Linked DNA regions of Oryzias latipes. The protein of the gene in region 1 purifies or fractionates together with the protein of each later gene. This does not show direct contact. Links are inferred from orthologs where the notes say so. Each region holds a gene or a part of one and is shown in the gene's direction. Other genes may lie near its edges.

Evidence for each region. Proteins that work in one complex are often made in the same cells at the same time.
Region 2: the proteins of josd2 (region 1) and putative adenosylhomocysteinase 3 purify together in Homo sapiens (affinity purification with mass spectrometry; 3 studies listed by BioGRID and IntAct, counting the BioPlex papers as one, with this or other methods). This does not show direct contact. The link is inferred for Oryzias latipes from reciprocal best matches to the Homo sapiens genes JOSD2 and AHCYL2.

Annotation. Positions count from the first base shown.
Region 1 is NC_019874.2:19,500,055-19,504,638, reverse strand, and holds the start of josd2 (josephin-2), read left to right. Parts: upstream 1-1,609; 5' UTR 1,610-1,717; exon of another isoform or gene 1,718-1,841; intron 1,842-1,969; 5' UTR 1,970-1,976; coding exon 1,977-2,098; intron 2,099-4,584. UniProt on the Homo sapiens protein: Cleaves 'Lys-63'-linked poly-ubiquitin chains, and with lesser efficiency 'Lys-48'-linked poly-ubiquitin chains (in vitro). May act as a deubiquitinating enzyme.
Region 2 is NC_019881.2:6,482,016-6,485,515, reverse strand, and holds part of putative adenosylhomocysteinase 3, read left to right. Parts: intron 1-2,245; coding exon 2,246-2,389; intron 2,390-3,500. UniProt on the Homo sapiens protein: May regulate the electrogenic sodium/bicarbonate cotransporter SLC4A4 activity and Mg(2+)-sensitivity. On the contrary of its homolog AHCYL1, does not regulate ITPR1 sensitivity to inositol 1,4,5-trisphosphate.

The DNA of each region.
Region 1 (4,584 bases):
TTTCTAAACACTCCCTGTGGCGGTTGTTGGAGTCTATTCTAACTACCCCCAGGTGTGGTACACCCTGGACTGTCTGAGCCACACAACCACATACACTCACATTCATTACTTTTAACCTTTCCTAAACAAATGCATGTTAGCTTTTTTATAAAAGGACACAACAGAGTCAATCAGGGACACTGACAGGATAAGGGCATTCAATAAACATGGTGCCTCAACCTGAGGACAGCTTTCCTGGTTTTGGAGCAGGATTTTGGACTAACAAAAAAAATTGTAGGCCAATAATAATATTAAATGACTGTCCATCATACAAATACCAATAATTTAGTGGTGTGTCCTAAATATCTATGAACATAAAAACAAACCCCGCAACTATCAGACAATAGAACGCTATTTTAGCATTGCTGTGATCTAATGCTTGTTTTTGCACAATTTGATTTTGAAACATTGTACTCAAAACTGGCTTATGTTCTGTGAGAAATCTTTAAAAAATGTTATGCAGGTCTTTGTACATCTCAAAGTTTCCTGTGCATTTATGAAGGAAGAAACAGCGCCAAATGCAAAATAGCACACAAACAGATAACCCAATAGTGTCCTCAGGACCTCTTGTGCAAAAATCAAACATATAACTGGGAATGGTAACCAATTTGGACACAACATTGATAGAGACAATGTAGATAAAACAGGGTTTTTTTTTAATCTCAAAAGGAAGGTAGGAGAGGATAAGAAGGTCTTTTTATTACCATTCTACAAAGCTCAACAGAAATCACTGTAAATGAGACAACAGACATAACTTTAAAAAAAATCAGAACATGATACACTAACATTCAACAATTTTGACAAAGAACAACTTCAGTTCTAAATTCAACACATAACATACATTAAAAGATTTGTAAAAGGTTCAGAATAGCAACATCTGACACAATATCAGACTAAAAAATAACTGATGGAGTGCTCATGGCATCTTCAAATTATCTAATTTGTTATTAAATATTGTTCTATGAATATCTCTCCTTTCATTGGTCCTGTATGGCTGAAATGTGTTCACTCAAAACAGAAAGGTTCAACAATGGAGTTTCATCTTACATTTTGCTGCCTTTGTAATGGCTATCAACTTGTATCTCTTGGATTGAACACAGTATTTCCTGCTCAGAGCAGTTTTGCTTTCACTGAATATGATGTTATCCAGTCAATCACAGATATAGTAGACATGTTGCATTCTAGGAAAATGTAACATTATCATCAACATTCATGAATATCATCACAAGTAATTTCTCCATCAAAAAAATTCTTAAGTTGAAAGACAATAATCCATATGAAATATTTCGTGTTTTATTTTTTAATATAAATGTGTATTGTTTTTCTTTTAGAGAAAAAATATCTGAAAGTCTGTCTTCACCTCCTCTCTGCCACAACTGAAATTAATAAAGCTGCCACTAGATGACGTTGCAAGCTTACATTATTGCTATTTTGACCTGCTTAAAAACATTAAAAACAATCGCGCGGACTACCAGAAATATTTTTTTGCGTTTATTTAGTGCTATATGTACTTGGTAAATAAAAGAAAATTCGTGTTTCGGTGTTGCTCTGTGGGACTCTTTAAGCATGGGGGCGTGTTTTTTGTAGAACAACAACACGACAAAGACTCTGCTTCCGGTTTCTGGATGTAGCTGACGGACTCCAGCGTCAATAAAACGTGGATTTGCTTTATCAGCAGGTAACGAGCTCCGTTTCATTGTAATGGCGTGACAATAGTTCGCGCTGCTGCTACTTTCTAAACCACTTTTTGAGCGGCCAGCTGGTGAACTTCCACCAGGGTGTCATAGTTAGCTTCTTTTCAGGTAAGAAGATAAGAACTACTGTACTAGCTGGTGCTAACCTCTCATATTATATCTGATGCTAGCTAGCATGAGTGACGTGTGTATTCTGGTTTTGTTGACGTCCACGTTTTTGTGTTTGAAACGGAAAGCGATAGAATGAGCGAAGCCGAGGTGTTTCATGAGAAGCAACGGTTGGAGCTGTGCGCCATTCACGCGCTCAACAACGTGCTTCAGGAGCGAGTGTTTACCAAGGAGACGGCTGACGACATCTGTAAACGGTAACAACGTGCTGACATGATCTTGTACCCATTCTCTCAATTTAAAAAAAAGCATATATTGAAACACATTGGATGTATTGTAATGTGTGGTACTTGTAGTTTCCTTGTTTATGTTCGTGTTTAAGGCTTAAAACAAAACAAAACAAACAAAAACAGTCTCGATTTCCCCAGGTCATCATAGTTGAATATTTACACTTACTGGCCAATTTTATGTGGTACAACTTGCTAGTCCCGTGTTGGACCCCCTTTTGCCTTCACAACTGCCTGAAACCTTTGTGGCTTAGATTCAACAAGACTGTGGTGTTGGAACCATGCTCAGCTGGTACTAAGGGTTCCAAGGTGTGCAAAGAAAAGATCCCCCACACCATTACACCTCCACCACCAGCCTGAACTGTTGATACAAGGCAGAATGGATCCACGCTTTCGTGTTGTTGACGGCAAATTCTGACACTACAATCTGAATGTTGCTGCAGAAATGGAGACTAATCATACCAGGCAAGGTGCACGATTTTAGAATCAGTTTCCTGTTCTTAGCTGACAGGAGTGGTACCCGTTGAGGTCTTCTGCTGCTGTACCCCATCTGCCTCATGATTGGACGTGTTGTGCGTTCAGAGATGCTCTTCTGCAGAACTTGGTAACCAGTGGTTATTTGAGTTACTGTTACTTTCCTATCAGCTGGAACCAGTCTGGCCATTCTCTTCTGACATCAACAAGGCATTTCCACCCACAAAACTGCTGCTCACTGGATATTTTCCCTACAAACCCTAGAGATGGTTGTAGGTACAGTGATGAAAGTCTTCCGGGAATTCCCGGAAATCCGGGTTTTTGAGCAAACCGAACGTACTTTCCGGGAAATAAAGACCTGATCTCTACGGACAAATCGCTTTCCGGATTAAAAAATGGTCTGAAATCAGCTAATTTTAGCTTTATTTTCTATATTTCTCAGCAGATCGCTTCCTCTATGGTCGTGGCCATCTCTCGTCTTCCCGGCCTAATTGACCAATGACGGGACGTTTTAGTTGCTTTCGGATGCGTCGACGGGTCCGATTGGCTCTGTCTGCACCACGTGGTCAGCGTGACTCGCTTCCCTAGAGACCAAAACTGGCGGACCCACGCTAAATTTTCACAAACACATCTGAAGAGTTTGCGATCAAATTTGTGTTAAAATAATGGCAGGCATCGTCATTATTGAGCGTGGTCACGACCTCAGTTGTGAGAAGACGATAAAAAACAAATTGAAGTGGTCTTGGCTGGAAAAAAAAGATTTTTAAGGTAGTGTAGGTCAAATACTTTTTTGTGTAAAATAATCTCAAAACCACATTTTGAAATAATTTCAATTTTAGTTTTGAGTTTCAGTTTTTATTTTGAATACATTTCTCTATCTAATTTATTTGTATTTCCTAATTACCATGATTTAGTTCAGTATAGTTGACATTAATTATAAGTATTTGATGGTTTGGACCCGCACTCCCTTAAAAAATAATGTTTACAATGTTTAGTTTAGTTTGTATGTTTGTTTTGATATTTCCCAGATTACTTAGTATTGGTGTTAAAGAATTGATGTATTATGTTATAGAATTATAGTTTAAAGCAGATCCCATATTTTGATGTAATTATAGTTTGAGAAAACAGTGCAAGTGGATGTTGTACATCAGTCATTTCTAAAGCAGAAATAATGTATAAATAACTGAGGTATTTTCATAGAATATCATAGTTACTGGTGTTCTTTTTGCCATTTGGGGCTTTGATGTTACTATATTTTAGCAATTGTATGTTTTGCAGCTTTAAGGAAAAGCGTAGATTGTAGGATTGTGTTACTTTGAGCAATTTTCCAAATTCTTTTTTAGGACCAGCAAGTCCTTAATGGAGAGTCAAACTAGGGGTTTGAATGACAAATCATGATGCTCCAATTAGTCTTAGTTTCTTGATAAAGAAGTGAATAACTAGTTGCCAGAATGCATCTAAGACCACGTATTTTTCCAAAATTTCGCTCTGTGCCCGCCATATCGCTCAAAGAAAAGTTCAGGGATTTTTTCCTTGCCTGACTTTCATCACTGTAGGTAAAAATCCTAGCAGGTCACTTTGAAAGTCACTACAATCACCTTTCTTCCACATTCTGATCCTCGGCTTGAACTGCAGCAGATTGTGTTGACCATGAATGCCTAAACGCATTGACTTTCTGCCATGTGATTGGCTCAGTGCAAATTTGTTACCGGGCAGTTGGATGGGTGTACCTAACAAAGTGCCCAGTGAGCGTACATATCTTTTTTTTTTTTTCTGCAAAAACTTCCATCTGAATTTAAATGGATAATGTTTCTTTCAAGTCTGACCAATAAAATAAAAGCTAAACACACCCAGATGTTTATACTGTTTATATTTTTCTGGAACAAAATAATGATTGTATTTCAAACAAATAGATAACTCTTCTGCAGAGATGAAGCCACAGACAAAGTGCAGGTCTGGAGAGGCTTGTGGTTTACATCAGG
Region 2 (3,500 bases), on another chromosome or scaffold:
GTCAATCACAGCGAGGGATGTGTGTTGTGTTTACTAAACATATGATAACCGTTGTGTTCACAACACAAACAATATCCGAATAAATTAACATGACGAACTTCTTTTTAGAAGAACAAAACAACTTAAAAGACCCAAACTGTCAGGTTTTAATTGTTTCAAGCTGTTAGACATTTTGTTGCTTTAACCCAGTAAAAACAGGAGTTTTTTTGTTAAAATTCATCTTCATTTGTAGTTTTAAATGCCAAATAAATGCTAAATATTAAGATTGCATCCATTACGGTAAAAGACTTGGTCTATATCATATTTCCACAAAGTTACTTGAATCTGAGATGCGTATTGAGTCATGTGAGAGGGAAATATACCCAACTCTAATATGCAGTCATGCACGGTTTCATGGGACACGACCACAATACTGATAGATGGGATTTCTGATTCAACAAATTGTAAACTAAATTCAGTCAGTCAAATTTCCAGCCTGACCCATTCCTTGTTCGATTATACAGTTTTCACATAATTAGTTATGCAAGATAATAATTTTATTAGTTAAATTAAGAAAAGTTACTTTAAAAAAAGGAGGCAAAGCTGCTAATTTGCCTAAATGTCAAAGAAATTTCTATAAAGTCCCTTTTCAATGAAAATGGTGTTTTTGGTGTTTTAACATGTACATATGTGGTTTTCTGAGGACATGTATGACAAAAATCACGCCTAAATTCCATTTCGGAGTATTTATTCTGATTTTGCTGAACATATGCAAAAATGCGCTGGGCATGCCACATGCTCCCCGCTCCCAGCAATGAGGAGAGGAAAGGAGGCGGGGCTGCTCCACACCAACAGCCACGCCCACAACTCTGAGGCACATTTCTAATGAACTACTGCCGCTCTGCAGAAACTATGTCCTAGAAAATGACCGGCTAAAAACAGCATAATCGTAATTAAAAGATTGTAACAATTTAAAGTAGATCAAGAGATATCTGTGCTTCTTTAAAACTATATATATATAAATAAATCATTTTACTTTTTTTGGGTGAAGTTTGATTCATTAGTTTACCTGCATGACACATGGGTCAATCTACAGTCATTTTGACAACCATGGACTTGTCAATTTAGAGAATGCAACACGTTAACCAGGTTTCCCCCTGTTTTTTGCTTCTTGCAGTGATCAGCTGCAGTTTCTCTCATGTTTCGCTGGCGGTAAAAGGATTGTTTGCCTGCGTCACTGTCAGTGTTCTGGCAGGTGGAGTGAGACAAAGGAGAGTCTGTGAGAAAGGCTATACTGTAGCTCTCTAGGGCAAACCCAGGAGCCAGCTGTGCTGGAACAGAAACTGTTAAACCACGTGAAAAGGACAAATGGTGCCTTCTTCCAGTTATCTTTGTGAAATTGGGGATGACACTGCCGTCATGTACCTGTCCTGCACCTGAGAAAAGGGTGTGTAGTTGGTCGTGCTTTGTTTATGCTCCCAAAAATGAATACAAATTGAACGACGAGATTTGACTGAATTGTAGAAAAAGATTTTTTACATTAAAAGTAATTAAAACAGAATAAAGGTGGAACTTTTTAGTAATAAATGTAAAAGCTCTTACATTCTTAAATAACTAAATGCAACTATTTTTCTGGAAGAGTAGAAGTAATTACATTTAAGATCCTCTCCGATCCTCTTTTGATTTATTGTCAGTGATTCCAGTGGTCTTTCAATTATGATTTTGCAGTTTTTAGCCAAAAAAACAAAAAACCTAAGTCGTTTTCTAGGACATAGTTTCTGCAGAGCGGCAGGAGTTCATTAGAAATTCTGGGGCGGAGCATGGAGCTTGTGACCCATCCAGTGTATTTTTTTTTTACGTCACAAATACAACCATATTAAACTGCATTTTTTTCATCTGCTCCTGATTTACAGGGATTTGAATAACGTAACCCTCAGTACGAGGGTTACGTTATTCGACGATTCATAGATTTTAAATTTTTAGGTTTTCTTTTTTTAATCCAGCTTTTAGGGTGATTTCACATGGGAGTGGTGCTCTCATTCCTGAAGGTTTACTGCCCCTACAGGAGGCATCAGACTCTATGCTTATTTAGGATCTTTGCCCCACACAGGTCACATCTTAGGGCAGAAGGGGGAGCCTTTAGTTTTTAAGAAGTGAACAGGAAAAAAAAAAGAAAAACTGAAAAGCATCCAGTTTTCACTAACTTGTTGTGCTGCAGCTTTTTTTTTTTTTTAATCTGGGAAAAAAACTTTGTTTTTGTTTGCAGCTGCATCGTACACGGACAGCTCTGATGATGAGACCTCCCCTCGGGACAAGCAACAGAAAAATTCCAAAGGCAACGGAGATTTTTGCATCAAAAACATCAAACAGGCCGACTTTGGACGCAGGGAGATTGAGATTGCCGAGCAGGGTGAGTTGGTCACGTCATTGACCGATCGGACATCATTGGTCCGATTGGTCAATGATGTAAAGGAATCCATCTGATTGGTCAAATGCATAAAATACTTCAGGGTAAAAATAATCCAGAACAAATTTTCCCTCTGAATACACCCAAGAGGACCCTGGTCCGGGTCCAGGAACTGCTCATCTTAGCCAATAACTGAAGAGATCTTTATTCACGTGGTTTTGTTAACAAGCGTCGGTCCGGAACAGAATGGTCTACTTGATGCCAGTCTGAAAACAGACCAAACGATCCGGACCAAAGGGTTCATCCCATCCGAAGACACCCTGAAATGATGCAATCAGACCCGCTTTCCGATCACCTGATCAGTTTAGATATCCCTAAATTAAACAGGCGCAGCAATGAGATGGCTCCCAAGGGACCGTCAACAAAGAGCAAACTCCTGGAAAAAGTGATTAAAAAAAAAAAAAAAGAATTCCACGACTTCTTAAAAGACAAACTGATTAAAGGTTGCATTGATATAAGCCAGTCATGAATACTCACAATCATATTCATGCTACAACAACAGTTTAGGAAGAAATTCTTTTTTTTAAAGAATTTTCAATGAATTTATCATTCAATCATACTGAAGATCCTAAAGTTATCATCACTAAAGTTTCACACATGACTAATTATCACCAATTTCACTAGTTATTAATTAGTTTTTTTTTCTAGTTCTATTTTTTTTACTTTAAGCGACTTCATAGAAGTGCTCTGTTTGAGTGTTAAATGATCCAAATAAAATAAAAAATTGGGAAAAACCTGGATCTGTTTATTAGATTTTTTTTTAAATCAGAACTCAGCAGATGCATCAAATTAAATAGCCATAAAACCTGATCAGGACATCCCTTCCTTTTTTCTCTGTTGTGCAAATCGGCCACGTCAAAGGAGCAGCTGGTGGCGCAAATTTACCAGTCGGTTTCAATTAAACTGTTGCAAATGGATTTTCAAAGTGAAGCGACAAAATAGTGACGAGCAAAGTGGCTAAAAAGCGTTTTTCTGTCTGTACAGATGTGTATGTGACCCTGCCTGGGAAACCTGCTGAGCAGCCACATGCTACCTTAAAAAACAAACAAAAAAA